Linked DNA regions of Macaca fascicularis. The protein of the gene in region 1 interacts with the protein of each later gene in a pairwise test. Links are inferred from orthologs where the notes say so. Each region holds a gene or a part of one and is shown in the gene's direction. Other genes may lie near its edges.

What was found.
Region 2: the proteins of NUP62 (region 1) and AGR3 interact in binary tests that used the Homo sapiens proteins (3 or more experiments, as listed by UniProt). The two-hybrid records come from large-scale screens. The link is inferred for Macaca fascicularis from reciprocal best matches to the Homo sapiens genes NUP62 and AGR3.
Region 3: the proteins of NUP62 (region 1) and OIP5 interact in binary tests that used the Homo sapiens proteins (3 or more experiments, as listed by UniProt). The two-hybrid records come from large-scale screens. The link is inferred for Macaca fascicularis from reciprocal best matches to the Homo sapiens genes NUP62 and OIP5.
Region 4: the proteins of NUP62 (region 1) and XPO6 interact in binary tests that used the Homo sapiens proteins (3 or more experiments, as listed by UniProt). The link is inferred for Macaca fascicularis from reciprocal best matches to the Homo sapiens genes NUP62 and XPO6.
Region 5: the proteins of NUP62 (region 1) and CCDC121 interact in binary tests that used the Homo sapiens proteins (3 or more experiments, as listed by UniProt). The two-hybrid records come from large-scale screens. The link is inferred for Macaca fascicularis from reciprocal best matches to the Homo sapiens genes NUP62 and CCDC121.
Region 6: the proteins of NUP62 (region 1) and ISCU interact in binary tests that used the Homo sapiens proteins (3 or more experiments, as listed by UniProt). The two-hybrid records come from large-scale screens. The link is inferred for Macaca fascicularis from reciprocal best matches to the Homo sapiens genes NUP62 and ISCU.
Region 7: the proteins of NUP62 (region 1) and BFSP1 interact in binary tests that used the Homo sapiens proteins (3 or more experiments, as listed by UniProt). The two-hybrid records come from large-scale screens. The link is inferred for Macaca fascicularis from reciprocal best matches to the Homo sapiens genes NUP62 and BFSP1.

The regions. Positions count from the first base shown.
Region 1 is NC_088393.1:57,910,557-57,915,038, reverse strand, and holds the start of NUP62 (nuclear pore glycoprotein p62), read left to right. Parts: upstream 1-1,643; 5' UTR 1,644-1,852; exon of another isoform or gene 1,853-1,974; intron 1,975-3,307; 5' UTR 3,308-3,419; intron 3,420-4,482. Other genes in the region: ATF5 (cyclic AMP-dependent transcription factor ATF-5), read right to left, coding at 132-309. UniProt on the Homo sapiens protein: Essential component of the nuclear pore complex. The N-terminal is probably involved in nucleocytoplasmic transport.
Region 2 is NC_088377.1:113,324,346-113,328,527, forward strand, and holds the start of AGR3 (anterior gradient protein 3), read left to right. Parts: upstream 1-1,271; 5' UTR 1,272-1,311; intron 1,312-2,496; exon of another isoform or gene 2,497-2,528; intron 2,529-3,958; 5' UTR 3,959-3,988; coding exon 3,989-4,094; intron 4,095-4,182. UniProt on the Homo sapiens protein: Required for calcium-mediated regulation of ciliary beat frequency and mucociliary clearance in the airway. Might be involved in the regulation of intracellular calcium in tracheal epithelial cells.
Region 3 is NC_088381.1:17,880,618-17,885,046, reverse strand, and holds the start of OIP5 (protein Mis18-beta), read left to right. Parts: upstream 1-1,495; 5' UTR 1,496-1,525; coding exon 1,526-1,847; intron 1,848-2,087; coding exon 2,088-2,154; intron 2,155-4,429. Other genes in the region: NUSAP1 (nucleolar and spindle-associated protein 1), read right to left, coding at 1,037-1,129. UniProt on the Homo sapiens protein: Required for recruitment of CENPA to centromeres and normal chromosome segregation during mitosis.
Region 4 is NC_088394.1:27,187,071-27,190,784, reverse strand, and holds part of XPO6 (exportin-6), read left to right. Parts: coding exon 1-37; intron 38-1,061; coding exon 1,062-1,176; intron 1,177-1,344; coding exon 1,345-1,516; intron 1,517-2,832; coding exon 2,833-2,994; intron 2,995-3,714. UniProt on the Homo sapiens protein: Mediates the nuclear export of actin and profilin-actin complexes in somatic cells.
Region 5 is NC_088387.1:94,604,930-94,609,099, forward strand, and holds the start of CCDC121 (coiled-coil domain-containing protein 121), read left to right. Parts: upstream 1-1,267; 5' UTR 1,268-1,504; coding exon 1,505-1,872; coding exon of another isoform or gene 1,873-1,882; intron 1,883-2,338; coding exon 2,339-3,293; 3' UTR 3,294-4,170. Other genes in the region: GPN1 (GPN-loop GTPase 1), read right to left, coding at 303-396, 1,099-1,209.
Region 6 is NC_088385.1:115,395,269-115,399,488, forward strand, and holds the start of ISCU (iron-sulfur cluster assembly enzyme ISCU), read left to right. Parts: upstream 1-1,377; 5' UTR 1,378-1,404; coding exon 1,405-1,518; intron 1,519-2,409; exon of another isoform or gene 2,410-3,040; coding exon 3,041-3,154; intron 3,155-4,047; coding exon 4,048-4,158; intron 4,159-4,220.
Region 7 is NC_088384.1:69,719,989-69,724,432, forward strand, and holds the start of BFSP1 (filensin), read left to right. Parts: upstream 1-1,576; 5' UTR 1,577-1,689; intron 1,690-2,398; exon of another isoform or gene 2,399-2,468; intron 2,469-3,129; exon of another isoform or gene 3,130-3,283; intron 3,284-4,444. Other genes in the region: DSTN (destrin), read right to left, coding at 1,380-1,382. UniProt on the Homo sapiens protein: Required for the correct formation of lens intermediate filaments as part of a complex composed of BFSP1, BFSP2 and CRYAA. Involved in altering the calcium regulation of MIP water permeability.

The DNA.
Region 1 (4,482 bases):
TATCCTCAGCACCTAAAACAGTGCCTGGCACATTGTAGGCACTCAACATTCAATGAATACATGGATGAGTTTTTCCTCCCCCATCTTCCCCTGCCCTCCACTCCCCTGCTCCACCTTCCACCTGCCCTTACCTGCCAGGGGCTCTCCCCCCACTGGAAGCCCGCCCTCCAGGGCTCCCCCAAGGACCTCATAAGGAGCCACGGGGGCAGGGGCAGGGGGGAGTTTCCCATAGTCTACGAGCCATCCCAGCCCGCTAGCTGGGAGCAGGGTCCTGTCCAGCTCCAGCCCCAGGGTGGCCAGGAGTGACATGGCTGTAGCACAGGTGCAGGGCGCTGTAGCACAGGTGCAGGGCACTGATGGCAACAGGAGCCGCTGCACCAGCAGCTGGGACGAGGCTCTGGAGGATGCTCAGCTGGATGAAGACAGGCACCAAGGCGAAAGTGGAAGACCTACACGTGTGAGACAAGAGTGGGTGGGGTCGTGGGGTCAGGAAAGCCTCATCCACCGGCCAAAATCATGGGGAAGCCAAGCCACACCCCCAGGCACGTCCACGGGGCTCCTCCCTCCCCCTTCCAACCACAGTTTATAACTAAGCCTCAGCCTCTCCGAATTCTAAATTTGCCCTTTCTTTACCCAAATCTGAGCCCCACCCACTCCCAAGGGAATTTCTTTAGGTCCTAAGGTAGGACCGATGCCCCACCCTTTCCCCCAATACGGAAACCTAAGGGTCTCCCAGGGGAATTACCTTAGGCCCTTCCCATCCACCTCAGAATATTCCGCATCATGGAAAAACTCAATTCCAGGGACATTTTCTTCCAGCCACGCCCCTTGCCCTAAAATATTTCCTTTTGGCCCCACTGCCTTCCTAGCTTCCATCCCAAACCAGTGCCCAGGGGAACTGCCCCAGGCCCCAGCCCTTCAGCAATGTTATCCACTCAAATCCCACTCCTCGCTTTGCCACTGCCCCTCCAAGCCCCGCCCCTCATTGTTTATTTAGCTCCGCCCCTCTCCGATTCCCCAGAGGCCCCGCCTCTTTGTCCCATCGAAGCCCCACCCCTCAGCTAAAGGTTGGCTTAGCCCCGCCCCTTCTCACAATGGGCTCACGAAATCCCACCCATCGTGACGACAGTGGTTCTAGCCCCACCCACTTAGAGGGCTGCCTCTAAGCCCCGCCTTCTCCCCTGTCAATCTAAGCCAGTCCCCGCCTCAGCAGGTGCCTGGTTTAAAAGGAAGGAAGTTGGGCTGTGAGCCAGAGCAACGTGGAGCAGGGAGGGTGGAGGAGGGTAGAGGGGGCAGGCAGAGAACTGCTACCCGAACGCCAGCCGTCCACACGCGGCTATGCGCCAAGGGCCAAAGCGCATGCTACGTCTTCCGAGCTGTCCAATTGCTTTACACCTCCGCCTTCTTGGGGATCAGTGCGCATGCGCGGACACTCAGGGCCCGCGCTCATTAATTACGGGGCACTGGTAGGCTACTGCGCAGGAACAACCAAGCACGCACAGAATCGTTTAGAAAAAGACCACACCCTCCCTTGGAGTGCGCAGGCGCAGCCACACGCCGGCTGACAAACATCGAGTCTCTAGAACTCTCCCACCCGGCTCCGGGCCCAGTGCGCATGCGCAGCCGCGCGCCTTCGGCCCACCGTACCTCTTCTGCGCCTGCGCGACCGTGATTCCCCGCTCGCAGCTCCCCTCCCCCCAGGGCTCCCTAAAGAGGGCCACGAGCTGCGAAAGGGCGGGAAAGGCGGTTGGAGAGGGAGAAGTAAGCGGTTACTCACTCCATGGCTGCAGCAAGGAGAGGCGGCGGCGGCCTCGGCTGAAGAAAGAAGGTGGGAGCGGAGAGCGCAGGCGTGGTAAGCGCGGAGTCGGGCTGGGGGCACAAAGGGGTCGAGGCTACAGAGCCATGGCCGGGGCTACGCAGGCGGAGGCGGAGAACGCTGTAGTTAGAAGAGACCGTGATCTGAGGACGGGGAATGAGGCGGCCCCGGGGACTGGGGACAGATATACTTCGGGTGGCGCAGCATGGCCCGCCCGGATCCTTCCGCGCCCCGCCCTCGCGGGGCCCCAACTGGGTGGCAGCCCGGTCCCCTCCTCCTGGGGATCAGGGGATCCGACCTCTTCCTTCCCACTCCTAGGGTCCAGGCCCCTCCTCCCTTTTGAGCCAGGGATCCGGCCCTCTCGTAGCTCCGGGGTCTGGTTTCCTCCTAAACTCTGGTTTCTTTCTTTTTCTGCCTGTGAGGTCTGGGCCTGCTTCCTCCTGTGATTTGGTGGATCCAGTCTCATTCTCTTCCCGGAGACCTGCACCATTTAATTTCTGTTTCCCTTTCCCTGCTTGCAGAATTTCCTGTCAGCCACACTTTTCATGTTTTCATCCCCCAACTGCTGACCCCGAGAAACCCTCGTGGGTTAGAGTCCAGCGTGAGTCACAGCACTCTCCCAAACACAGACCTACCAGGATGGCCTCGGGCAAATAGCTTAAGTTCTCTTGCTTCATTTCCCTATAAGTAAAATAAGAAAAATCAGCTCTCCTGGTGGGTTTATGAAACTCAAGACGGTGTCTGGCAAGCCTTATGCACAGAGTTCAACTCATACGTTCCTGTTCAATTTTTTTTTTTTTTTTGGTGAGATGACGTCTCTCGGTCTCTGTCGCCCAGGCTGGAGTGCAGTGGCGCGATCTCGGCTCACTGCAAACTCCGCCGAGTTCACGCCATTCTCCTGCCTCAGCCTCCAGAGTAGCTAGGATTACAGGCGCCCGCCACCACGCCCGGCTAATTTTTTGTATTTTTAGTAGAGACGAGGTTTCACCTTGTTAGCCAGGATGGTCTCGATCTCCTGACTTCATGATCGGCCCGCCTCGGCCTCCCAAAGTGCTGGGCTTACAGGCGTGAGCCACCGCGCCCGGCCTCAACATATTTTATTGGGGCCCAGCCTCACTTCTTCTTTCCCCCTTACAAGAGCCGCAGACGTTGGACTGTCTAACTCTTGCTGTCGTTCTTCTGTCTCCCTCATTCCTCTGAAGTGTCTGTTTCCGGCCATCCTCATCTTCCGTTCCAAATGATGGGTGCCCAGGCCCCATCCCCTGGCAGGGATTCAGACATCGAGGCCCCAGCTGCGTCCTTTTCTCCATCCCTTGCCCTTGGCTTCCTTTCAAACAGTCCTTAGCTTCCACGGGATAGGAACTATCTCCCAACCCTGCCAAAAATGGAAGATCTCCGTTTCCCTTTAGTCAGAGGGTAGCCATCTTGCCCCTTCTCATGCACAGGGCCCTCCACCAGCCGAGGTGGATGTCAGTCTTTTCTCTCTTGCAGAAACCCACCTTGTCCCATCCACGTCAGGACATCCCAGCTGGAGTTCAGCCTTCATCCCTTCTGTGGCAGTTAGGAGACTGAATCAAGGTCCAGAGAAGGTGGAGGAATCCTGGTATTGAGCGTTTTACACAAGCTTCTTTCTCCTCCCTTACTTGTCGCGGGCAGGAAGCCCTTCTTGGGATCTGACCACCTTCCCTTAGAGCACTTATTGTCCACTTTGCCAGCTTTTGAGCACCTGCCCTATATTTCCTTGAGCTTGTAGGGGTTGTGTTATCACTGAGACAGTATACAGAGTAGCAGCTAAGAGCATAAACTGAGCTTGTCCCATCCGTGGGCCTGCATGTGGCCCAGAATAGCTTTGAATGCAGCCTAATACAAATTCGTAAACTTTCCTAAACCATACGAATTTTTTGCGAGTGTTTTTTTTTTTCCTTTTGAGCTCATCAACTATCATTAGTGTTATTTTATGTGTGGCCTAAGACAGTTCTTGCGATGTAGCCCCAGGAAGCCAAATTTTATACATCCTTGGCATAGACTCTGGAGCCAGATTTATGAGTTCAAAACCTGACTGCACCCCTCTTATTAGCTGTGTGACCGTAGCCATTTCCCTTCCCGGTGCCTCGGTTTCCCCTGTGGTACAAGGTGGTGTTAAGAGTACCTGCCTCTGGGCCAGGCACGGTGGCTTACGCCTGTAATCCCACCACCCTGGGAGGCTGAAGTGGGCAGATTGCTTGAGCTCAGGAATTCGAGACCAGCCTGGGCAACATGGTGAAACCCCGTCTCTACAGAAAATACAAAAAAATAGCTGCGTGTGGTGGTTTGTGCCTGTGGTCCCAGCTACTTGTGAGGCTAAGGCAGGAGGATCACTTGAACCCTGGGGTGGGGCAGAGGTTGCAGTAAGCGGAGATTGTGCCACCACACTCCAGCCTGGGTGACAGAGTGAGACCCTGTCTCAAAAAAAAAAAAAAAAAAAAAAAAAAAAACTGCCTGCCTCATAGGGCTGATTAAATGAGTTAATCCGCGTCGAGCAGTTAGACTAGTGCCTGGGACACAGTAGGTGCTGCATAAAAGTGGTTATTGTTACTGCTATAATTAAGGTGGATGTGTTCTCATTCCATTGCTGTGCAGTAAGTCCAACTTCCTTCCACTTCTCAGTATAGGTTTTTGAGCAAAAG
Region 2 (4,182 bases), on another chromosome or scaffold:
GAATTTATAAACAATACCCTGGATTACGCTTCAATAAACATTTTCTGTAAACATTTACTAAAGATAGTAAACATTTTCGGTTTTGCAGATCATACAGTCCCTGTCACAAGCACAGCTGACCCTTAAACAACATAGGTTTGAATCGTGTGGGTTCACATAGAGGAGAATTTTTTTTTAAATAAATACAGTCCTTCATATGAGCAAGTTCTGCATCCACAGCCAAAGTGGATCAAAAATACTGTGTTCACGGGATGCCAAACCTGCACATATGGAGGACCAACTTTTCGTATCTGTGGGTTACGCAGGGCCAGATATGGGACTTAGTGTGCACAGATTTTGGTATCCACTGTCCTGGACTGTACCGGACTTTGCTGTTGCAGTGCAAAAGTAGCCATAGACACTAGTAAGTAAATGCACATGGCTGCATGCCATCCGCCAAATCTCTCTCTATTTATGGACACTGAAAGTGAATTTCATATAACTTTCACATATCACAAAATATGATTATTTTGGTTTTTTTCCCCAACCGTTTAAAAATGTCAAAATCGTTCCTGTTTCCTGGGCTGTGCAAAAAAACAAATCTGATGACATCCTGCCCTACATTATTTTAACAGTAATTAAATAATTACTGTCAATTAATTAAATAGTATCTATTAGATAAATTTAAACTCATCTAATTGCTGTTTTCTATTTTGTGCACAGTAAAGGTTTTATAGAAAAATTGTAAAGAATAATCAAATGATGAAAATGTTCAATTTTAAAACAGAATTATTTCCTTCTCTCTCTCAAAAAAAAAAAAGGACTCAATCTCTTTAGCTGTTAATTATATTCCTGTAAACAGAGTAACCCTTAGGAATTTCTATTTGCTTTCTTTCTAATCTGCAAGCCTCACAGCACTCACATCAAGAACAATGGCATGCACACAGTTCTTAAATTCAGTCCGGTTTCCTTCTTCCTTTTTTTTGTGTGTGTGTGCTGAACTTCAGCCAAACATTAAATTACCTTGGGAAATAAAAAGTAAAAGAGAAAGAACCACAAAGATGGTATTTAACCTCATTTTATGAGGACATTCAATCTGAATTTAGACAAAAAGAAAAGCGCTTTGTTAGTGTGAGAAGCATGAGAACTGGAAAGAAGCACAGAGTTTTTCAGACCAGCCTACTTTCTAAAGTTTGTTTTCCGGTAACTATGCTCTTGTTTCTATGCAGGTGAGGTTGTAGGTCAGGTGTGTGTGTGTGTCTATAAATCCACACCCATTTTTAACCAGAAACATCCAGAGTACATTTCCAACAAGAGCACTGGCCAAGTCAGGTAAGCAAGCAAAGTTTCCAGATTACTTAATCAGTGGTCAAGCTTTGCAATATTTAAATAATCACCTTTTGCTATATAAAAGTGAAGCTTTCAGTAAAGGCTGGGAAAGTGAAATGAATTTTTAATTTTCTTCTTTTACCGAACTGGATTTCCTTTGCTAGTTTCATAGTTTTATCTCTATTTATATTAATGGTATTAGAATAAATTGACATCAACCACAAAAACAACTCTTTAAAAATTATTCTACAAGTATTAATAGCTCTTCTTTATAGTCTTTTAAGTCTTGTTTTATTTTAAAATATAGGTGCTTATAATATCAGTTACTTATGTTAAATTACTTTTGAAAAATAAAATACTAATGTCAGAAAATGCTAATTGACCAATGTTTATACAACCTAATTTCTGGCATATGGTTATATGCCTCCCAAATGCATTTTAAGCTGCTATAGGCCTGTAACCATGCCATATTTATCTGTGTTCCCCCAAGTATCTTAACCTTGCAACTGATTCTAAAGGACCCTCAGCAATTTACAGTGTATGTTACCAAGGAAAGCATTATTTATTCAAAATCTATAATGTACAAGTTGTACTGCTTTGTCACAGAATATATTTAATACCTATTTTATAATTTATCAATGTAAAACCAGAAAACCAAGATTTTTATTTTTTAATTAGAAAGTATTTGACAATAATACATAAATATTTGAAATTTTAAGGAAAAAAATGTTCCCACCTAACTCTAAGCTTGGCAGCTTTAAAATAGCAAAAATGATGAAGTTATGCTTTTTCTTTTTTAAAATGCAGATTCCACCTGCTTGTCTCTGTACCTAACATAGAAAAATCTTTCTAAAGTGCCCTCCAGATTGACTTTTCTTAACTCTTCTTTATATCCAAGATCCCTGGAAGAATTTTAATGAAGTTTTGGACCCTATTCCCATGGAAAAGGAACAGGCAGATAAAATTTTGCACGCAATTTCCAGGGGTTTTGAGCCTTCTGTAGCTCATCCACAGGCCTTCTAGAAGCCTGCTGGATTCAGGTTAAGATCCTGTCCTAGATGGTTACTTCAGTTCCTCCACTGCAACTCCCAACCTGTCTAACTACGGCTGCCTTTGCTGGGTTGGGTTTCATGTTCCAGAGTCAAATGTCCCTGTCCTCTACTAAAATCCACCCTTTCTTTGTTTCAGTCTTTAAAGTACAAGATGACCGAGGCCTTAAGGTACAAGATGACATTCTGAAATGTTTTATGGCTTAATAAGTTATGGAAACTTAAACTGAAATCCTTATCAGGCACCATGATCATTATTTAACAGGGTTTTTATATGCCTGGAAAGAAAGGACGGAAGAGGACGGGAGGGGAAAGGAGGGGAGAGGAGGGGAAAGGAGGGGAGAGGAGGGGAGACGAAAGGAGGCCGGGAGCTGTGGCTCACCCCTGTAATCCCAGCACTTTGGGAGGCTGAAGCAGGTGGATTATTTGAGGTCAGGAGTTTGAGACCAGCCTGGCCAACATGCTGAAACCCCGTCTCTATTAAAAATAGAAAAATTAGCCAGGTGTGGTGGTACACACCTATAACCCCAGCTACTTGGGAGACCAAGGCAGGAGACTCGCTTGGCTAAGGAAATTTTACTATTTTGGTGACAAATTCAATACTAAATAATGTAAGTCAATAGGAAAGACATCTTAAAGGAACTTTAAATAAATGTGAAGGATATCTGTATATTTATTTTATATTTTGAGGTAAAGTTTCAAAACTGCATGCGCCAACCATTTTCAAATGAGTTTTATATGCTAATGCTGTAACTAAACATCTCACAAGTATTACAGACTTCCTGTAATATATTTATCAAGTGGTTTATGACCAGATCCAGATCAGGTCCAACTTTGGACTTTAGTTTTTATCTTAATGCGCAAAGTATAAAAGACTCACATTGAGTTAAGAATCGGTTTGAATTCTAGCTAACCAGGAGAGAATGTAATCATGGCACGTCTACGCTTCTCTATACATATGTCTAATGTATAGTAATATGACAGTATTTTATTTTTATAAAGAGCTGTATTATAAACTGAAGGGCAAAATTCTGATTAATTGTTGAAAGGATGAGAAAGGTAAGAAACTATAAAGGAACTGAAGGACAAGAATCCTCCATATTCTATTTTTCCTCTGATTTCTATTTTAAGCAATATTTGTTCATGTATAATCTTATCTTGGTATAGAGTCAAAATGTTTTGACCTACTAGATACAGGAGAATCAAAAGGCAAAGAATATTTCTGCATGCTAAAAGTCACTTTATAGTTTACAAGACATTAAAAAACATAATCTTATTTGAGTTTCATCTTGGTGGTGTGAACACTACAGGGCGATTCAGAAGCAGGCTTTGTGTGCCCTGAACCAGCTGTCTTTTAATTATACAGCACTATGCCCAGGATGCTCAGAACGTGACTTCTCACCAACTGAGCATGTATTGAGTTGATTAAGTATTTTAAAAATAAAATGTGAATGAAAGTTCTATGTGGTTGGTTATACCATGTCAAACCAAAAAAGCAGAACAGTCTGTCGTCACAGTATTGGTCCAACTCTTAGCAAATATCTTTTAATAATAGCTTGAAGCAACTCACTAGATTCTGAGAATTCCTTTCTGTCATCTAGCTTCTTCTGAGAGATTCTCTAGAAGACACGATGCTACACTCAGCTTTGGCTCTCTGCCTCTTACTCGTCGCAGTTTCTTCCAACCTTGCCATTGCAATAAAGAAGGAAAAGAGGCCTCCTCAGACACTCTCAAGAGGTGCTGTAATCTCATTTTATTTTCTAAACTCAGTCATTTGGATTGCTTTTTAAAATATCTCATGGTCTAATTATAAAATTATAAAACA
Region 3 (4,429 bases), on another chromosome or scaffold:
ACAGCAGTATTATGTGGGAAGTCTCAACTATTAACAAAATATATAAAACCGCTATCCTACATTGAATCCCCAAATCTTCTAACATCTTGTTTTTTGTTTGTTTGTTTGTTTTTGTTTTGTTTGAGACTGAGTCTCGCTCTGTCACCGAGGTTGGAGTGCAGTGGGTGCGATCTTGGCTCACTGCCACCTTGGCTTCCCAGGTTCAGGCGATTCTCCTGCCTCAGCCTCCCGAGTAGCTGGGATCACAGGCGAGTAGCTGGGATCACAGGCGTGTGCCACCACGCCCGGCTAATTTTTTAATGGCCAGGCTGGTCTCGAAATCCTGACCTCAGGTGATCCAACTACCTTGGCCTCCCAAAGTGTTGGGATTACAGGCATGAGTCACCGCGCCCGGCCAATTCCCCTAACATCTTGTAGCCTCGGAGTCAAAGACCTTACTGGTTTTGATAGATACCATCACCACAACAGTCATCAATAAGCACATGAGTATACTAGATCAGGGCTGAGTTATAAAAATTTACCCAAGGAGGTGGTCCCCTAAAAGTCGATTTTTTCTTTCCCCCTGACAGGTCCATCAATAAAGTATCAAGAGATTATCGGCAATATTACAAATCACTGAAGTCTGTGTGGGGTTTTCTAGAAGCTGAGCCAATTATTTACTTAATTGTCTAACGATTAACGACACCCCTTCTGCTTTCTGGGCCTGCGTTTCGTAATCGATGACCTGAGAGGTATAAAGTAATTTCAAAAAAAAAAAAAAAACACAAAAAACGAAAAACAACAAACCACCCCTCGGAACAGAGGCTTATCATGTGAGCACCCAGACAAGCCAGCTTCAAAATGAGGTGAAAACTACAGTTCCTCTTCCGTTTATCAGAGTTCTAACTGGGACCACCGTGAACCACATCTACTGCCCGAGGGGCAGGGACGGCTGCTTCAGTCCCCGGGCTTCCCGTTCGGTCCCTTCGCACCGCATCTCCCTGAGGCCGCTACTCCCGCCGCGCCCGCCCAGGGAACTGCCCCGCCAGCGTCGTACCCGCAGGTTGGCTCGGAGACCCAGACTCTTGGCTAAGTTCTGCAGGTCACTGTACTTGAGGGAGTCCAGCTCCTCTAGGGAGGGGATGATCATCGCGATTCAAAATCCCGGCGATACTCAGAAGATGGATCACCAAGTCTCGTAAGCGAGGTTCAAATCCCTGGCGCCACTCTTAACTTTGACTAAGCTGAAATTTATAGACAGTTTAAATGAAGAATGCCGCGCTTCCATTGGTTGAAAATGCCTCAAAGGCGGGGTTTCTAACCCTGACCAATAGAAAGGCTGATTTCCCGTCCCAACAGTCGCGCGCTTTTCTCACACTTCACGAATACGCAGGCGCCGAAGGGCCTGTAAGACCGGTTCAGGTAACGAGTGCGCGGACTGGGACTCCAGTGCTTGGATTGCCCACGATGTCCAATGAGGACGCAGGAGCTGTGCTTGGGGCGGGGCCTGGCGTGTATTCGAAACGACGGCGCCGGCTGAGAGAAGATGGCGTTTCAGCCGCGGCGGCATCGCTCCCCTTGTGCAACGCCGCCCCAGGGTGACTTTTGTGATGGCACTGAGAGGGCGATTGACGAAGCATCTTTTACGACCTCCATGGAGTGGGATACACAGGTGGTGAAGGGGTCCTCGCCGCTCGGCCCCGCAGGGCTGGGGGCTGAGGAGCCGGCCGCCGTCTCGCAGCTGCCGTCTTGGCTGCAGCCTGAGAGGTGCGCTGTTTTCCAGTGCGCACAATGCCACGCCGTGCTCGCCGACTCGGTGCACCTCGCCTGGGACCTGTCGCGGTCCCTTGGGGCCGTGGTCTTCTCCAGTGAGTGCAGTGAGGCGTTCGGGAAAGGCAGAGGCTAGCCCGAGAGGTTGTTCCCGCCTTCTCCACCTGGGGAAGAAAACGGAATGAAAATTTGGAAGCACATAACTCCTTGGCCTGGGGATGGGGCAGGGAACTGGGGAGTCTCCTGACATTTATGGCGGGGATGAGTCTGTCTAGAGGAGAGATTTTCCATTTCAAGGCCCGCAGAGTATGAGTTCTGACCCGTGTTTGTGTTCCTAGGAGTTACAAATAACGTCGTTTTGGAAGCGCCCTTCCTAGTTGGCATTGAAGGTTCACTCAAAGGCAGGTACGTATTGATAATTACAGATTGGTCTCTAGTCCCTGACTTTATGAGACTGAGGAGCGTGGAACTGACATGTACTTGTTGAGCAAGTCTGTTGACAGCATTTCCTTTTTTTTTGTTGGTTTGATTTTTTTCTTTTTGAGATGGAGCCTCACTCTGTTGCCCAGGCTGGAGTGCGGTGGCGCGATCTGGGCTCACTGCAAGCTCTGCCTCCCAGGTTCACACCATTCTGCCTCAGCCTCCCGAGTAGCTGGGAAGGCATGTGAAGTCATGCCAAATTGTGAATATGAAGAAAAAAATGGGGCCGGGCGCGGTGGCTCACGCTTGTAATCCCAGCACTTTGGGAGGCTGAGGTGGGTGGATCACATGAGGTCAGGAGTTCAAGACCAACCTGACCAACATGGTGAACCCCCATCTCTACTAAAAATACAAAATTAGCCGGGCATGGTGGCACACACCTGTAATTCCAGCTCTTTGGGAGGCTGAGGCAGGAGAATCACTTGAACCCGGGAGGCAGAGGTTGCAGTGCACTGAGAACACACCATTGCACTCCAGCTTGGGCAGCAAGAGCAAAACTCCATCAAACAAACAAATACATGGAAATTAAAAGTGCTACTCCAGTTATAAGCTGATATGGAGGAAGTTTGAGTGGTATGAGTAGAAGATCAAACCAGCCACAGCATTCCTTTAAACCAAAGCCTAATCCAGAACAAGGCCCTAACTCTCTTCAATTCTGTGAAGGCTGAGAGGTGAGGAAGCTGCAGAAGTTTGAAAGTAGCAAATGTTGGCTAGGTGCAATGGCTCATGCCTGTAGCCCCAGCACTTTGGGAGGCCGAGGTGGGTGGATTGCTTGAACCCAGGAGTTTGAGACCAGCCTGGGCAACATGGTGAAATGCTGTCTCTACAAAATACAAAACAATTTAGCCGGATGTGGTGGTGCACACCTATAGTCCCAGCTGCTTGGGAGGCTGAGAAGGAAGGCTGGCTTGAGCCATAGAGGTCGAGGCTACAGTGGAGCTGTGATTGTGCCACCACACTCCAGCCGGGGTGACAGAGCAAGACTATCTAAAAAAAAAAAACAGAGGTTGGTTCTTGAGATTTAAGGAAAGAAACCTTCTCTATAACAAAAGTCCAAAGTGAAACAGCAAGTACTGATGCAGAAGCTGCAGAAAATGAAAGTGGGTACACTAAACAACAGATTTTCAGTGCAGATGAAACAGCCTTCTATTGGAAGAAGATGCCATCTCAGACTTTCATAGGTAGAAAGGAGAAGTATTACCTGGCTTGAAAGGAGCTGGTCACAGTGACTCACACGTGTAATCCCAGCACTTTGGGAGACCAAGGTGGGAGGATTGCTTGAGCATAGGAGTTCAAGACCAGCCTGGGCAACATAGCAAGAACCGATCTCTACAAAACATTTAAAAATTAGATGGGCATTATAGTGTGCACCTGTGGTCCAGCTAATTGGAAGGCTGAGGTGGGAGGATCACTTGAGTCTGGGATGTCAAGGCTGTAGTGAGCTGTGATGGTACCACTGTACTCCATCCAAAAAAAAGAAAAAAAAAAGCTTCAAAGGACAGGCTTTCTCTCTTGTTAGGGGCCAATGCAGCTGATGACTTTAAGTTGAAGTCAATGCTCATTTACTGTTACTATCTATAGCTACTATAGATAGTTATTCCTCTGATGGATATGGGCAAAGTAAATTGAAAACCTTCTGGAAACCCAGCTAAATTTTGTATTTTTAGTAGAGACGGAGTTTCACCATGTTGCCCAGGCTGTTCTCAAACTCCTGGTCTCAGGTGATCTGCCCGCCTCCCAAAATGCTCAGATTATAAGCGTGAGCCATTGCGCCCGGCCCAGTAAATTAATTTCCACTGACACATTTGTTTATAAGTACTGTGCTTTGTCTGAACTAATTAATTCCTACGTGGAATTTCAAATTAATGACACTTTATTTCACAGTTTGCTTTTTGGTTACCTATATTCACAAGATTACTATATGTGTGGTGTGGGACTTCATTTACCAATAAACCTAATATATTTTGTTATTTGTTCTTTTTTAGTATCCATTGACATGAATATTTCTTTTTAGCTATGTGTTTTTTGTTTTTTTTTTTTCTTTTTTAAGACGGAGTTTTGCTCTTGTCGCCCAGGCTGGAGTGCAATGGCACAATCTCCGCTCACTGCAACCTCCGCCTCCCCGGTTCAAGCGATTCTCCTGCCTCACCCTCCTGAGTAGCTGGGATTACAGGCACCCACCACCATGCCTGGCTAATTT
Region 4 (3,714 bases), on another chromosome or scaffold:
TCCCTGGCCCTCTTTCCAGCTTTTATCCATCAGTCAGGTAGGAGCTGGCCCAGAGCCCCACTGGTGGGTGGTGCTAACAAGGGCCAGAATGCCCACTTAGATCTGTAAAGCACACTGAGTCAGTGCAGTACAGGCCTCGACTGGCTCCGTGCAACGAAACCCGGTACTGAAGGGAAAGGGCAGTGGTGTTTATTTGCGGAGTCTGGGGCCAAGGTCCTATGGAAAAGTGAGCAGAGCCCTCCATATGGGCCTTGGCACCTACAAGAGAAGGCTAGAGAGCTTTTTTGGTTTAGTTCTCCTTATTTTGTGGCAAGGCGCATTTGCCGAGATCATTCCCCTCACCCTTGTCTGTCACTGTCAGTGATAGAGGGCCTCTCTAGCTCTGTGGATGTACTTGCCCAGCTCTCATGAGAGCATTATAGTAGTCTTGTCAGTTTTACAAGAGAAATATCAAGCACTTCTCAGTCAGCAAATATTCATTGCCTCTTGCAAGCAGATTGCGTGCAGTTAGAGCTGAAACACTACACAAGATGATTGTTGAGATCTGGAAGTGAAACTGCCCTAAATGTAAGCAGTATTTTCTGCAATTAGTCCATTTAATGGACCAGGGGCATGCAATCTAAATACACCTTCATTATCCACTTTCAACCACTCAACCTCTGACCCAACTGCAGGGATTATTAGTCATAGGGGGAAATGACTTAAGCACTCAGGGGTTGACCCAGTTGAGTAGTTTCATCACTGTGGGCACAAAGTGATCCCTCTCCAGTGACACTCTGACTGTCACTGGATGTCGGGCAATGAGGAAGGGTTCGAGATGACCTTCATTTCCTGTAGTGAGCCACCAGGTGGAGGTTCCCTATACCAGAACTATTTTCTCAGCATGTCCCTAATCATTTTCCACTTTCTGTCACTGGCCCTGATGGTATTGGGGAAATGTTTCCAGCAGGAAGCCGTAGAGAAAGCTGATAGTGCAGATTTCAGGAGTAGGTCGATGAAGCCCAGGGTTCTGGTTCTCCCTGTGTGCAAGCCTGTGACGGTGTCTCTGCCCCTTTCCCCAGATGTGACTGATGAGATGCTAAGCTTCTTCCTCACTCTGTTTCGGGGCCTTAGAGTACAGATGGGCGTGCCTTTCACTGAGCAAATCATACAGACTTTCCTCAACATGTTTACCAGGTAACCACAGACCCCCCATCCATGGTTTTCAGATTCAAGGGAGAAGTAGTGGGTCTGGCGACAAAGTGTGGCTTTTTGCTCCTGTTCTGTACTTGCCACAGCATGGGTTTTCATGCTGACCCCCAGAGAAACATGTGGTTGCTCACTGTGTGGCTTTCTCATCTGTAGAGAGCAGTTAGCTGAGAGCATCCTCCATGAGGGGAGCACAGGCTGCCGGGTGGTGGAGAAGTTTCTGAAGATCCTGCAGGTGGTGGTCCAGGAGCCAGGCCAGGTGTTCAAGCCCTTCCTCCCCAGCATCATCGCCCTGTGCATGGAGCAGGTGTATCCCATCATCGCCGAGGTAGGGGCTCAGGCAGTCCCCTGTGCGGCCCCCCATCTCCAGATTGGGAAGGGAGTGAGATTTCACAGAAAATGGATTGTGTTTTAAAGTTCATTTGTTAGTTTAATATGCTAGTAAAGTAATTTCTCCCAAGGAAGAAGGCCTTTAGCGTGGTACAGTCTTTTGATATTGATCGAGTTCATTGGAACTAGTCTAGTGTAAGCACAGCAGTTATTCCACAGGGTCAGTTGCTAAGATCAGTCTCCTGCAGCAAATAATTTATACCTTTAAGAGACTCTGGTTTTCTATAGCAAACATTCTAACATATGTACTTTCCTATTAGAAACATTCATGGTCTCAAGGATACAAGGCAAGTTCTTGAAACCATTCAAACAAACCTTTTAATGTTACAGGAAAGCCCTTAGTCCTTAGAAAACAGGCAGGCACTCAGCATGATAAGACCAGGAATAAGTATAGATGTAATTTCAGTTTTTTTGGTAATAGTCATATAAATAAGAGCTAATCTTTAACTGTCTGAACTGAGACTGGCACAGGTCTGGTCTATGGGACAGACTGGCCTATGAGGCTTCTTCTGTGGACGCTTGTGGCCCCTGGTGTCTATTTAATTTTAATCAACACTGAACTGAACATATGTGGGCCTTCTGCTTTTGAATTCTCCAGAGACATCTGGAATAAGGGATTGCGGGTGTTGGATTCAATGAGAAAACACTGCTGAGCCTGCCCCTTCTCCTCTACCTCCTCTCAGAATCCTGGCTGCTGGGAAAGAAACTGGCCCAGAGAGCCTGGCTCCCAAGTGTTCTTTAAACCCTCCTCTTCTGGGGAGCAGAATCACTTTAAGGCATTGGGACTGTCTTTAGCCTCTGTGGTTGTGTAAGACCAACAGGTTAGTGGGACAGCATTTTTCATCCTGGGAAAAGGAACAAGCAAGATGATCTGACAGGTCGAATAGAACAGAAAATCCATACTCCTAATTGTTTATCCACTTGGTAGCTTTTTTCTAGTGTAAAAGCTGAGTGCTCATCAGAAAAAGGGGCCCCTGGCACTGACCCATGCATTCTCTCTCAAATGTGGGCCCTGTCTCTGCTGAAGAACTCACGGTGTGAACCGCCGACTCCAGGGGCTGGATGTCTTTTGCACAGGCAGTGACAGGACTCCAGGGGCTGGATGTCTTTTGCGCAGGCAGTGACAGGCATGTGGATGGAGTGTTGACACTTGGTTTACTGTCACGAGGCATCTCCTAGGCATCTTTGCTGCCCTGGGCCCAGGCCAGAGCGGCTCCACAAGCTGCAGATCTGAGCGTCTGTGTGTCTCTGCAGCGTCCCTCCCCTGATGTGAAGGCTGAGCTGTTTGAGCTCCTTTTCCGGACACTCCATCACAACTGGAGGTACTTCTTCAAGTCCACCGTGCTGGCCAGTGTCCAGAGGGGGATCTCTGAGGAGCAGATGGAGAATGAGCCCCAGTTCAGTGCCATCATGCAGGTAATGTCGGGGCGGGGGGACTGCCGGGTGACTTCCTCTAACCTGGCACTGCAACGAGTCCTGTCTTTGAAGCCCCACCAGTCTCGGGTCTGAAGCTCAGTTCTGCCTCTTAGTATTGATGAAGTTAACTAATTTCTTGGAACCTCAGTTTCTTCATCTGTAAAGTGGAGCTAATGTTGCCTGGGTCACAGGTTTGTTTTGAGGTGAAATGAGATGACATACACAAAGTGCATGACACTTGGAGATGCTTGATAAACGTCAGTTCCGCTGACCTCATAGTGCTGTTTCCCCAAGTGTAAAGAGCCTGCTTATGCCAGAGTCACCCAGGGCCTTCTTAGCAGGGAACTGCCTGAATAGGAGTCTCTGCAGGAGGGCCCTGGACCTGCACTGTGATTCTGACTCTGACCATACTAGGAGAAACACTGCCCTGGGAGGCAGGGCAGATGCAGCTGTCCATCGGAGACAGTGCGCTCTCTGTGGGCTAAGCACCCCATTTTGTGGAAGACTGGGACGGCATCCCCTCACGCGGACAGCCAGCCTGCTCTGTGGCTGCATCAGGCACGCTCCCAGGGTCTGCATTCAGGTGTCTTGACATTCTCATCTGAGTCTAGCTAGGGGAGGCTCTTTTTGTCTTTTCAGTGCATGCTTTTCCTCATGGGGAAGCAAGAGGAATTTCCACCCTCCCTCCAGCTCCCTACTAGCACACAGCATGCATATGGG
Region 5 (4,170 bases), on another chromosome or scaffold:
AGTGCAGTGGTGCTATCTTAGCTCACTACAACCTCTGCCACCCGGATTCAAGCAATTCTCCTGCCTCAGCCTCCCGAGTAGCGGGAATTACAGGCATCTGCCACCGCGCCTGGCTAATTTTTTGTATTTTTAGTAGAGATGGGGTTTCACCATCTTGCCCAGGCTGGTCTTGAACTCCTGACCTCTTCATCTACCTGCCTCGACCTCCCAAAGTGCTGGGATTACAGGGGTGAGCCACTGCGCCCGGCCTTTTCCATTCTCTTTAAAGCACTTCACACAAGTTATGTTACCGGTTTACTCACCAATATTGGCAGGAAAGGGAACTTCATGTACTGCTGGATCCAGGTTGATCACATAAGGTGGAGTGCCTTGGGCATGCAGGTGTCCTGTGAGCCTCTGCAGAGATATGGGGAGAAGGTTGGAAGGAGACAAAGAGGGGACAAGAGAGAACTTCCTTTACCACCCATGCCTTAAGAGTTTTGCACTTAGATTTTCTTTTACCTGAAATATCCACCCACTATATCCAACACCAAGATACAACTCTCAGTTCAAATGCTACCTTTCTTCATCACCCATCTAACAAAACTTCCCCTACTCATAGTCACTTGTTTACTTGTTTTGATTCTTCGTATGTGGGTTTTCTCTATCTCCTCCATTAAATATTTAGCCCCATGAATGAATCTTGTCAACCTAATTTTCGCTATATCCCCAGTGAATGGTACATAACAGGCGTGCAAGAAATAATTCTTCGGCAAATCTTCACCAAAACCTGTGTGCTAGCACTGTATTAATCTCTAAAGTTACTTGTAAGCCCCTGCCTTCAAGAAACTGGCAATTTTATCAGCAAGACAATTCCTGTACAACGTGGTAAGCTGACCGAGTATGCACTGAAGGTGCACAGAAGACAGCCTTAATTAACCTGGCTAGGGCCCGAGGAGGCTTTGCCGGGGAAGGAACTAAAGTTGATGGGAAACGACCGAAACCCATGCGCCGATACCCTCCAAATCCTCGGAGACCTCCCTCCCTTTCTCCCTGGCCTTCCGCCTGTCGGAGGCAACCTTTTGCGCTCCCCTACTACACCCACGCTGTGTACGTCACCTGTACAAAGGTGGTTTTCCCGGATCCCGCCATTCCCAACACCAACAGACACACTGGGTGCCGCGGACCCCCAGAAGCCTGGGGCTCAGCTGCAGCTGCGGGCGCCGCCATCTTCCTCCTGGCCCCGCCCACCTGACCATAGAGACACCGCATGGCTAGAGAAACTTCCGCGATGTTCTGGGCAGCGAACGAAAACAGAACCAAAGCGTCAGAAAGGAGCGTGAAGGGGCGCGGTAGTTGCCAGGGCATCTTCTTAGTATCGGGCAGGGCTGGTGAGCCAACTAGTGACAGTGGCGAGGAAGTGGGGGCGCTGAGCAAGCGAGAGGAAGGCTGAAGGGAGCTAGGAAAGGGCTCTGATCTCTGCAGCCTGGGAGGGCTTTTGTCCCCAGGGGGAAGGCGAGAAGAGATGGGGTCCCGAGGGCAGGACTCACACAGCAAGAAAACAAGGCGCATGCCTCTCATTTCGAGCCCGCAGAGAGCGGGGAGCGGAGCCACTGGAGGACCGGCTGCTCGGGTTTATTCGGTAGCCGAGGCGGTTAAACAGTTCAGGGCTGGACCAGCCAGGACTGGAGCAGGGTGCAGCCTCCAGGGTTGCTGGGCAGCACCGAGACCCTTTGAGCACCGAACGGATAAACTACGGGAGTTTTCCGCACTTGCACGTTGTTCCCGCGAGTTGCAGGCGCAGGTTCCTGATGCTAGCGCTCATTCCTTGGTAATCACCCTCGGTGAACTACGCAGTTGCCGTGACCTTCAGGATGAATGCTTGGATTCCAGGTGCGAATAGGTACTGGAGGGGAGCTTCCTTCTCACTGAAGGGCTCTCAGAAACTCAGGAAAGATGATGAAAGAGCTTAGAAAAGTATTTCTACTCGCAACCACCCAGTCTGTTTCTGTGGCCCTTTGTAGCTGCTAACAGTGTTCAGTAAGTCATAAGATCTGGCTTTCATACCCAGGCTCTGCCACTTGCTAGTGGTGTGAGTCATGGGCAATTCACTTAAACTCTCTGAACCTGTTTTCTCTTTTTAAAACTGAGATAGTACCTCCCAGGGTTGTGGTGAACGCACGTTGTAAATGATGAGCTAAATCCGTCATCTTTTACCACTAGCTGGATTCCCCTCACCTTGCATAATGTCTGGAACATTCTGGGTACTCAGAAATATTCTCTGGTATAAATAAAGGACAGTTCTGCACTTCCTAAAGTTTCATCAACTGAGAGAGGAATGTCTCATTTGTTCTTTCAGGTTTGCTGAGGGCCCCAGAAGGCTCCTTCCACCGTATCATAGGCTAATAAATAATTTTGTCAAGCCAGAGAAGCTAACAAAGGTGGAGACAATCCTTAAAGAAAAGATAGTGGCGGAAATGACGGTTCTGAACAAGCATATAAAACAAGCTCAAATCCAGCGGGAACAGCTACTGGAGGAATACAGGGAGCTATACCAAGAAAAGTTACTTGTCCAGGCTGAAAACAGGTTCTTTCTGGAATACCTGACTAACAAAACTGAAGAGTACACAAAGCAACCTGAGAAGGTATGGAACAGCTATTTACAACAAAGTGGAGAGATCGAACGAAGAAGACAAGAATCAGCCTCCAGATATGCAGAACAAATTTCAGTGCTTAAAACAGCGCTCTTGCAAAAGGAAAATATCCAATCCAGTTTGAAGCGGAAGTTGCAGGCAATGAGGGACATTGCTATATTAAAGGAAAAGCAGGAGAAAGAAATACAGACATTACAGGAGGAGAAAAAGAAAGTCCAAGCTGAGACAGCTGCAAAGACACGTGAAGTACAGGCCCAGCTCCTCCAGGAGAAAAGATTACTGGAGAAACAACTGAGCGAGCCAGACAGGAGGCTACTGGGAAAGAGAAAAAGAAGAGAGCTTAATAAGAAAGCCCAGGCCTTGAAGTTGGCAGCAGAGCGGTCTATTTTTGAATACTCCTGTGGCCTCAAAAGAGAGAACCAGCAGTTCAAGAAGGAATTACTGCAGCTAATTGAGCAAGCCCAGAAACTAACGGCTACTCAAAGCCACTTAGAAAACAGGAAGCAGCAGCTGCAGCAGGAACAGTGGTATCTGGAGTCCTTAATCCGGGGGAGGCAGAGATTGCAAGGAAGTCATAATCAGTGCCTAAATAGACAGGATGTTCCAAAGACCACACCCAGTCTTCCCCAAGGCACCAAATCAAGGATTAATCCAAAGTAACTCCTCCTAAAATAACACTGATTAGATAACTGGAGCAAGTACTCTTAAGTGCTACATTAACCTGGTTAGGAAGGCTTTTGGATTCCAGATTGTTATTGTAACATCTCCATCATGAGTGTTAGAGTGGAGGATTAGATGATCCAACAGTCCTACTAGATATTTGGTAACCAGCTTCCCTTAACTAGTTTTTTCTTGAAATACTCTCGTTAATAAGATATTCCACAAACCTCTAGTTAACCTAACACATGACCCTAACCTAGCCATTTACCATACATCAAACTAGCTAAAGGAAACCAACCCGAGGAAGTGAAAACAGTTGTGATTTATTTCATCTAACTAGATTTCTTTATAGAGAAAAAGTACCTTTAAGGTTAGCATTCCAAATAGACTGAATAGCGTTCTGCTCAGTAAATAACCAGTATCAGTTTATCCTCATTCCTTTTGACCGACTTAGCAGACAAAAGCAGTTTTTATAAGATTTTTGTAAGTTTGTGCCAGTGACCAGGTAGCTCCTAGTTTTCTCATGAGCGAAAAAGCATTCTGATAACAGCAAGTCCAGTAAGTGCTAGGCAGAGTGACCTTTCATCTGATGTGAAGCCCCTACAAGTTTAGCTTTAAGTAAATTGAGAAGGTAAGAGAAGATGAAGGAGACATCTATTAGGTCAGCTCTTACATTTGAAAATGTTTTCTTTGAAGAAACATATGTAGCATGGAGGTGACTGAATGCCTCCCCTTATTTCAGGAAAATGTATCCAAAAAAAGTTGAAATATTTGGACTTTTTAAAAAGTGTCATCCATTTCCCTAGCAGCATTCTAAAAGATAGAAGTAAAATGATGTTTATTATCCTAAGTGCTTTAGTTTTAGGTCATTTATTAA
Region 6 (4,220 bases), on another chromosome or scaffold:
CCCGCGGCCGCCGAAGACCCGCTGAGGCAGAAGCTGCCCGCGGCGCGCGCCTTATCAAAAGCCCGTTTTCTTGACACTGAAAGGGAAACTGGGAACCTTAGATAACGAGAAAATCTCCAAATACACTAAATTCATTTTATTTTATACCCCTGTAAAAACTCCCACCAGAGAAAAAACTCATTATCATGGCATACGTTCCGTCACAACTTCGGACAGAAGTTGGGTCTTTGGGCAGGAAGTGGAGGCCATAGAGGAAGTCATGAAGCGAGCGTGGTGTCTGTAGTAAAGAATTTGGCGCCATCTTGAGAAGGTCAAAGTGATTCTTAGAAAAAATACCTTACTTATCGCCTAGTGTGACCTGGCGCTTGGGTTTAGTCTCCCCAGCAACTGCACCTCAAACGCAAAGAAAACTGCAGGTCCTCGGGGAAGGATCGATTTCACCATTCAAGAGAAAAATCCATTTCCCAAAGAAATTCTTCCCCTTTATGTAAACATCTGGTACCTAGGAGGCGTTAAATACACTTGAGTTTTCCGGTTTTATAAGCTCACATACTGCAAACCAACAGTAAATACGCATTTCTTTAGAAATTCTTAATTGCTAGGCACCGACATATAAATTGAATTTGCTGTTGTTTCAGAGAGAAAAATAGACATATACTCATTTTTTTTCAATCAGGACATGGTGTTCGTTTCCTTCTTAAGCTTCCCATTGTTGAGGTAGGCAAGTACTGGAGTGTGTCTCTATCTCTACCTTGCTCCCTCATTAGCAAGCTTAATGGGCAGGAATTACGTCTGTTTTGCTTTCTGTTGGATCCCCGGGTCTAGTAGAGTGCCTTGACACATAGTAGGTACTCAACACAGATGCTGGCTTCATGATGAAGGAATTGTCCTCGAATTAATACAAAAAGGAAGATTCAGACTTAGCAAGCCGGTACCATTTGTCTAGGGACACACAGCCAGGAAGGAACCGAACCAGGATTCTAACCCAGGACTACCCAAGTTCGAATTCTAGTTGAACCTAAGCCCTAAGCGACCTTGGACGGAGTGACCAAACTGCCCTGAATCTCAGCTTCCTTAGCTGCAAAATAGGGTTAGGAAAAGTGGACTCAGTGGTCCTCTGCGCCGCATTCCCACACTGCAGAAGCCTGAGATCCTCTCTCAACCAGAATCCAGCACCCAGGACAAGCCCTCTAGCGACTTCAGACCTTCCCGCTCCCGACCCCGCCCGCCCCCGAGAGGCGTGGTCAAGGCGGGGCCACAGGGCGGAGGCTTGCACGGAACGGTAAGGCGCAGGCGCAAAGCCTCGGTGACGCCAGAGAGGCGCGCTCCCAGCTCGGCGCCGACTCGCAGACGCGCCCCGCCCCTCGGCATCGCTCTGGACTGGCGCAGGCGCAAGCCGGCAAGATGGCGGCAGCTGGAGCTGGCCGTCTGAGGCGGGCAGCGTCGGCTCTGCTGCTCCGGAGCCCCCGCCTGCCCGCCCGGGAGCTATCGGCCCCGGCCCGACTCTATCACAAGAAGGTAGGGACAAACGAGGGGACACGCGGAATGCCGACTCGGGGGAGGCCTGGGCTGGAGCGGCGGCCGCGGGGTTCTACGCAGCCAGGACTAGCTGTCGCCTCCCACGTCTTTGCCCTGACTCACTTTCCCTTGCTGCGCAGTGAGGCTCACTGCAACTGATAAACAACAGTTACCGCTCATCGGGCTGCGACTTCCAGGGGGCCCCGCCGCTGGCCGCGACTTCGTGCGTCCCAACTTTAAATTCGCCAACAGCCCAGGAGGCAGGGTCCTGTTGGGACTTGTCTTTTAGAGTCCAGGGACAGACACACCCCCGGAGCGGGCTCCGGCTTCAGCCACGCTGCTGCCCTGGCTAGATGACCTTGCGCTAGTCACTGCGCCTCTCTGAACTTGTTTCCCCAGGTGTAAATGAGGACTCTCAGCTGTCTCTTACAAAGGATACTGTGCATGGAGTCCTGTCATGGTTCCTGGCACATAGGCCCCAGCACGAGGAGACCGTTTCTGTTACTGCTTTAGGAGTGCATAGGGGAGTCAGGCTTGTAACCAACATGCGTAGTGTTTTTGTTTTGTTTTGGGGGTTTTTTTTTGGCGGGGAAGGAGGGATAGATGCATAGTTTGCAGCCCCTTGCTGTCTGGTGACGCAAAGTCCCCCAGACGTGAGACTCCCACTCTAGAAACAAAGAATGCCATAAATCAACGTGGCACAAAAAGTCCCTCCGTTAGATACTATCCTATAGGGGCCTTTACTTGGAGTCAAAATCCTTAGTCAGATGGGGAGGAAAAGGGGACTGGAAGATCGGGGTGCTTACTACTAACCAGTAACCACATTAAGGCCTTCTGTGTGCCAGTTCGAATGGATGTTGATTCTGATCTGGCCTCTGCCCTTTCTCCAAGGGCTTCTTCACTCCTCCCCCTCCCGGCGGTGTGTTTCGTTGAGGGTACACCCCGAGGAAACTTGGACTAGCAGCCTTTCAGCAGCCAGGGTGCGCTGCTGCACCAGGGTGATGACAGGCTCTGAAATACGGTAATGGCACTGTTTTTATTTTGAAAGACACATAAACGTACACATTCCATAGCATTGTTCTCTGTGTAACAGTCACCTTAAGGCTTCTAAAAGTTTTCCCTTCCTGGGCCATAGTTATTTTTAGAATTTTTAAATAGTAATCATCCTTTGAGGATAGTTTTTATTTGAAAATAACAAAACTGCTGTTTGAGCCCAAGTCTGGTGATGTAGGTGGGTAAAAGTCAAGTATTTTTGTAAAAACCCTATGGAATTAAGACATGATTTCACTGATATTTTTTTCTTCTAGGTGTCGCTAATCTGTGAAGTAGTTGTAGAGGAGACACAAAAGGAATTGGGGGTCACAAATGGTTCTCACTGACATGAGTGTAGACCTTTCTACTCAGGTGAAATTTGGTGATTGCCTGCCAGGTTCAAGATGCTGACTTCCAGGAGCTTGCCACCATACCAGAGACCAGCACCAATAGAGAGTGAACACGATTTATCTTAACCCTCTCATTTTAGGTTGTTGATCATTATGAAAATCCTAGAAACGTGGGGTCCCTTGACAAGACATCTAAAAATGTTGGAACTGGACTGGTGGGGGCTCCAGCATGTGGTGACGTAATGAAATTACAGGTATGGCTAGTCTTTAATAGTGATAACAATAATCCCTTTAAGTTTACAAAGCACTTGCACATACAGCATTTCACTCGGTCTCCATCTTTATTCCTGTGAGATGGGATGAGTCCATGTTAGACGTGATTGGAACAGGGCCTCAATCGTAGCTCTCCTGCCAGGCTAGTGTACTATGCCGACTTTTTCCGAAATAGAAAAGTAATCTCATTTTTGTACTCACTGTATAAGTTTAAATTCCAACTTCAGCCAACGAAAGAGTTTTGTGAATTTTACTGATCAAAGGAAAATCCCAGTGAGCTAGCAGTCCCCAATGAGATAAGAAACACAGTAAATTAAACCTGTCCCCAGATTGGGAGCAACATGAAGATAGTGTCTAGTGCTTTGGGTAAACTGTTGTTGTAGCGCCAATCTGCTGCTTCATGGTGAGTGGGCAGCTTGCCAGAGATCTTCATACCTATCTTGGAATACAGAAACAAAACAGGAGGAAACCACTAAGTATAATCTGCTGCCCAAGAAAAAAGTATTAACCAGAGACCTTTATTGTGTACTCTCTCAGTGTTTAAGAGGCAGATTGCCCCAGCAGCTGTGAGCAGACTGCCTCAAATAGAAGTTCATAGCCAAAATGCAAGCCAGAGTCGCAAAACAAAATAATATTGGGGTGGAGGAACATATTTTCCAGCTGATCTTTGTCAGTTGGGCCTGGATAATTGTCCCTGCATTTCACTTTTCATCACTGAGCTCTCTGAAACAAGGCAAAATCAGTAATTAATACCATCACTTAGTATGGAAAGCAAGCCCAAAGCCCTTGGGGAAGGCCCCAATGAACCTTCGTGAGTGCCAAGTTCCAGAGGGTGGTCCTAGGACTCACCACTTAACTCTTGTCTCTTTTCTAGATTCAAGTGGATGAAAAGGGGAAAATTGTGGATGCTAGGTTTAAAACATTTGGCTGTGGTTCTGCAATTGCCTCCAGCTCATTAGCCACTGAATGGGTGAAAGGAAAGACGGTAAGGTTGCTCACAAATCTGACAGAATGAAATTGCATTCACCCCAAGCCTGTCTCTTGACG
Region 7 (4,444 bases), on another chromosome or scaffold:
TTTAAAATATTATTAAATTTTTAATAATTAAATATTAGACTTAAGATGCTGATACTTTGTAGCTTACAGCATTAAACCAAAGAAAAACCAAAAACTGAACCGTATCAAATCCCTATTACATACATACCTACAGTCATCAAGAAAGTACCGGTTAATCTTTTCTTCTTACTAAGGGGCCGCCTGCATTTCATGAAAGTTGCAATAACTTAAGAAAACCAAAACTGTTACACAGTGAAAACAGTTTGTATGCAGATAAGCTGGTACCAACTGCTTCTAGACAGACAGATGCAATTAGAATGTAATATTTCTAGCAAAGTCTGGTAAGGCTATGCCTGCAAATCATTGACCAAAAATGGTAACAGTGTGTGCAGACTAAAGAAAATGACAAAATGTTCCATCTGATAGTTCAGTTGAGAATACGTTTGTTTTTAAATAGCTAATTAGAGGGACACAATGTAAAGGGGGAAAATATGTAAATTAAGCAAAATGTCCATCATATAGAATATACTAATGAGCACCTGTTTACTTTTTGGTGACTCTAGTATTTTAATGGTTTTTAAAGCTCTTAAATTTGCTTGTATCAGCATCCCAGCATCATGCCCACACCCTGCGCACCAAGTTCTGGCAGAGTCCAACTGTCTACAGGTCAGAAAAAAAATTCTAACCATACACGGACAGATCGGGCAGGGAAGGGTTAAAAGAGACCCTGCCAAGCTTGACAAGCACGACCAGAGTGCTGCTGGAAGCCGATTGCCAGATAAAAAGAAAAAAAAAAACAAAGAGGCTGCAAGGCCACCCCGTTCTAAATCATGCCAGTATCCTGCTCGTTAGCGATCATTCCGTGCTGTAGGGCTGTTCCATAAAAGCTTTAGCTTCCTTATTGAGATGGACAGACCTCAAGGGCTGGAACGCGCACAAGTCGCCGAGCGCCTCAGCGCTAGCTCTGGGGAACTAAACCCACGCCAACAAGGACGGTCGCCGGATTCCGACGCCCCCCGCCTCCCACTCCTCGGCCGCGGTGTGCAGCCCCCCGGATGGATTTCACAGAGCGGGTGGGGGCGCTCGACCCCGGCCAGTTGTTGCAAGGCCCGGTCTGGAGGCACCGCAGAGGCCACGCTCAGGGCGGCGGCCTCGCCCCAGCTGGGAGCTGCGCAGCGGCCGCGGATCCGCCCAGGGGCGCCAGGGCCCAGCCAGGATGGCTGGCGACGAAGGCCCGGAGACCCCCCGCCCCACAACCGCGCGGCCCGGAGACTGCAGCCGGGCCGGGTCCCTCCCGGGCCTGGGGCACGGCTCAACCCCTTATCCCCGACTCCGCGGCGCCCCCGAGACCAGCAGCTCCCGGCCGCCTCAGCCCACGCCTCGGCCTCCCTCCCACTCACCATCTTCGCCGCGGCGGTCGCAGGGACGCGGGGTTGGGAGCTGGCGGGCAGCGAGTCTGCAGAGCGTCCTCTTCACAGCCGCGGGACCGAGCGCTGAGCTGACGCGGCGGCGCGAGCCTACCCCGGGGCGGGCGCGCCTCGGGACGGAACGCGGCTGCGCACGTCACGCACCTCCCGCCGTTGCTACGCAACCAGCCGGTCCGGCAACGCCCCGCCCGGCGGCTGTCCAGACTACCGGAGGGGAACTTCCCTCACCTGGTTTAGGCTGCGGGGCGGGGTCTCCCTCACTAGAAAGTGTTTAAGGATGAGGGTACGTGCTTTCTCGTCTGCAGGGGACTAGAAGGCTTACTAGGCTGGCTCCTGCTGGCGAGGGGCGGGCAAAAGATGATGGGGGAGGGGTGGCCTTTCTTCACCTCCTCGGGCGGGGCTCCCTGACGCTCCACCCACTGTGCAGGCAAGGCTCGCGCGGGGGGAGGCAGCCACCTGGCCAGGTGTTCTTGCCGCTGGGGGCGGGGCGGGGCCGGGGAGGGGAAAAGGAGGGGAGAGCTGGGGGAGAGGGGGACAGAGCGTGGGAAGCAGGGGGATTTGGCGGGGAGGGGCGAAGGGCACATAGTTGGGGGAGAAGGGGATGGAGAGGGGAGGGAAGAGGTGAGGGAGAGGGGACAGAGTGGGGAGAGGCGGGGGATGTGGGGGGAGGGGGCGAGGGGCACTTAGTGGGGGGGTGATAGGGGAGGGAAGGGGAGAGGTGAGGGAGTGGACAGAGTTGGGGGAGGAGCGGGATAAGGGAGAGGTGAGAGACAGGGACACAGAGTGGTGGAAGGAGAGAGATGTTGGGGGTGTGGGGGGTAGGGCCCGAGGACGGGGGACGCGCTGGGGGAGGACCCGCGGGAGCGGAGTCGCGGGCCGCGGCGTCGGGGACGCCTCCCGAATTTTTTACCTACTTTGGTGCGATTCCCGCCGCCCTCCCCTGATTGGCCCAGCCTGGCTTGTCCTGCCCTCGCGTGAGGGGAAAAAAATCTGCACATTTTTCCTCCTTCCCGAGGCGACCGTGGCCATGCAGAGTGTTCTGTGAGTCACCGTTAATTTCAGGTCTGGAAAAACAAGGAAGATTTATTTATCTTTGGGAACTGCCGGGGAAGGAGGCCGGCGGCGCGCAGGGGTGTGGCTGGGAAAGGCCGCGCTGTCCCGGGACGGTGGCGCCAGCCCCGCCGCTCAGTTCTCCGGGTTTTTAATTTGGAATTGTGTTTTTCTAATGGGCGGTTGCGTCGGAAACACGGTTTTCAGAGGGCCGAGATGAATCCCAGCGTTTTTGCTGCGGGTGTTTTTGTGGGAAATAAAGGGAACAGAGAGAATTTTATAAATTAATTTAGGTTACCGAGAACATCATGGCCTCGACCAAAACTACTTTAATTCTCCAAATATGAGGCTTTTGGACACGATGGTCAGTATTTTTTTCTGGCACTATATAAAATCTAGGTTGTATGTGGCTTTTGTTCTGCCCCGCTCAACATAGAAACCCATTTCTTATTACCCTCGTTCTTTTTAAAAAGGACGGTAAGCAAGTTGTGCAGTTTTAAGCCTTTACCACCTGAGACATGATTTTTGGCGGGCTAGAGCAGTGGTTCTTAACTTTAGCATGCATCAGAATCACCTGGAAAAATTGTTCAAAGCTAGATTTGTGTGCCCCATCCCCAAGGTTCCCTCACTACTTCTAAGGTGATGCCTGAGAATGTGCGTTTCTAACTCCTAGGTGATGCTGAAGATGCCAGTCCAAGGCCACACTCCTGAGCTGAGAAGGAACCCCCCTGTATCCTACTGCAGCTGGAACCCTCTGCTTTTCTGTTTGCATAGGACCCTGTGGCCTCTACACTTCTTAATATTCAGACTTCCTTTCTAGTCCAAAAGTGAATGGTGCTCATTTAAGGATACATGCCTGCCTGCCTGCTCCAGCCTCTCCTGCATTTCGTCCTCCACTCTGCCACCAGAGTTATGTCCAAACATAAGACTGGTCTTGTCACATTCTTGCTTAAAATTTTCTGTGGCTTCCTCCATAACCCTCAGCGGGTCAGTGTGGCCCTTCTGTCTCTGGCCTCAGCCTACTTTTTCTGCCCTATCTCCCATATTTTCCTAAGTGCCCACTGCCCCTCCCAGACGAAACTTCTCATAACAGAACACCTCTTACTAGTTCTAACTACCTTGATCATGGGCCTGCTTATTTTTCAGCCTGGAATGTTCCTATCACCCCTCACATCTGAAGACTTCTCTTACCACTTCCCAAGGATCAATAGTAGTTGCTGCTTTTTTTTTTTAACTTCCTGCCCCCCACCCCTTCCAACTCCTTCACCCCCGTAGTTCCTTCTATAATCCCAGAGTTCATCACTTCTCAAACCTTTTTTTTGTTTTGAGACTGAGTTTCGCTCTTGTTGCCTAGACTGGAGTTACGGTATGGTGCGATCTCGGCTCGCTGCAACCTCCGCCTCTGGGATTCAAGCAATTCCCCTGCCTCAGCTTCCTCAGTAGCTGGGATTACAGGCATGTGCCACCACACCCAGCTAATTTTGTATTTTTAGTAGAGATGGGGTTTCTCCGTGTTGGTCAGGCTGGTCTGGAACTCCCAACCTCGGGTGATCCGGCCACCTTGGCCTCCCAAAGTGCTGAAATTACAGGCGTGAGACACTGAGCATGGCCACTTCTCAAATCTTAATAAAGATCCAAGTCACCTGGGATCCTTGTTAAAATGCAGATTCCAGAGTTGAGAAGTGGAGTCTTAGATGACCCCAGGAAATGCAGATGCTATACTTTGAGTTTGGAGGTTTTATGGTTTTTCCCTACAATTACTGTAGCTCTGTAATTACTTATGTGCATTTGCCATTACTACCAGATTACGCTGGGAGTTCCTTGAGGTCATGGGATATTTAAGATGCATATGTGTGAACTTGGCATAGCCCCTGATACATAGTAGGTGTTTAATAAATGTTCAGTAAGTGAACAAGTATCTGAAGATGTTTTACAATTTATCAAGCTTCTGTATCAGTTTATCACAACTTAAGATGAGCCCCCATTTT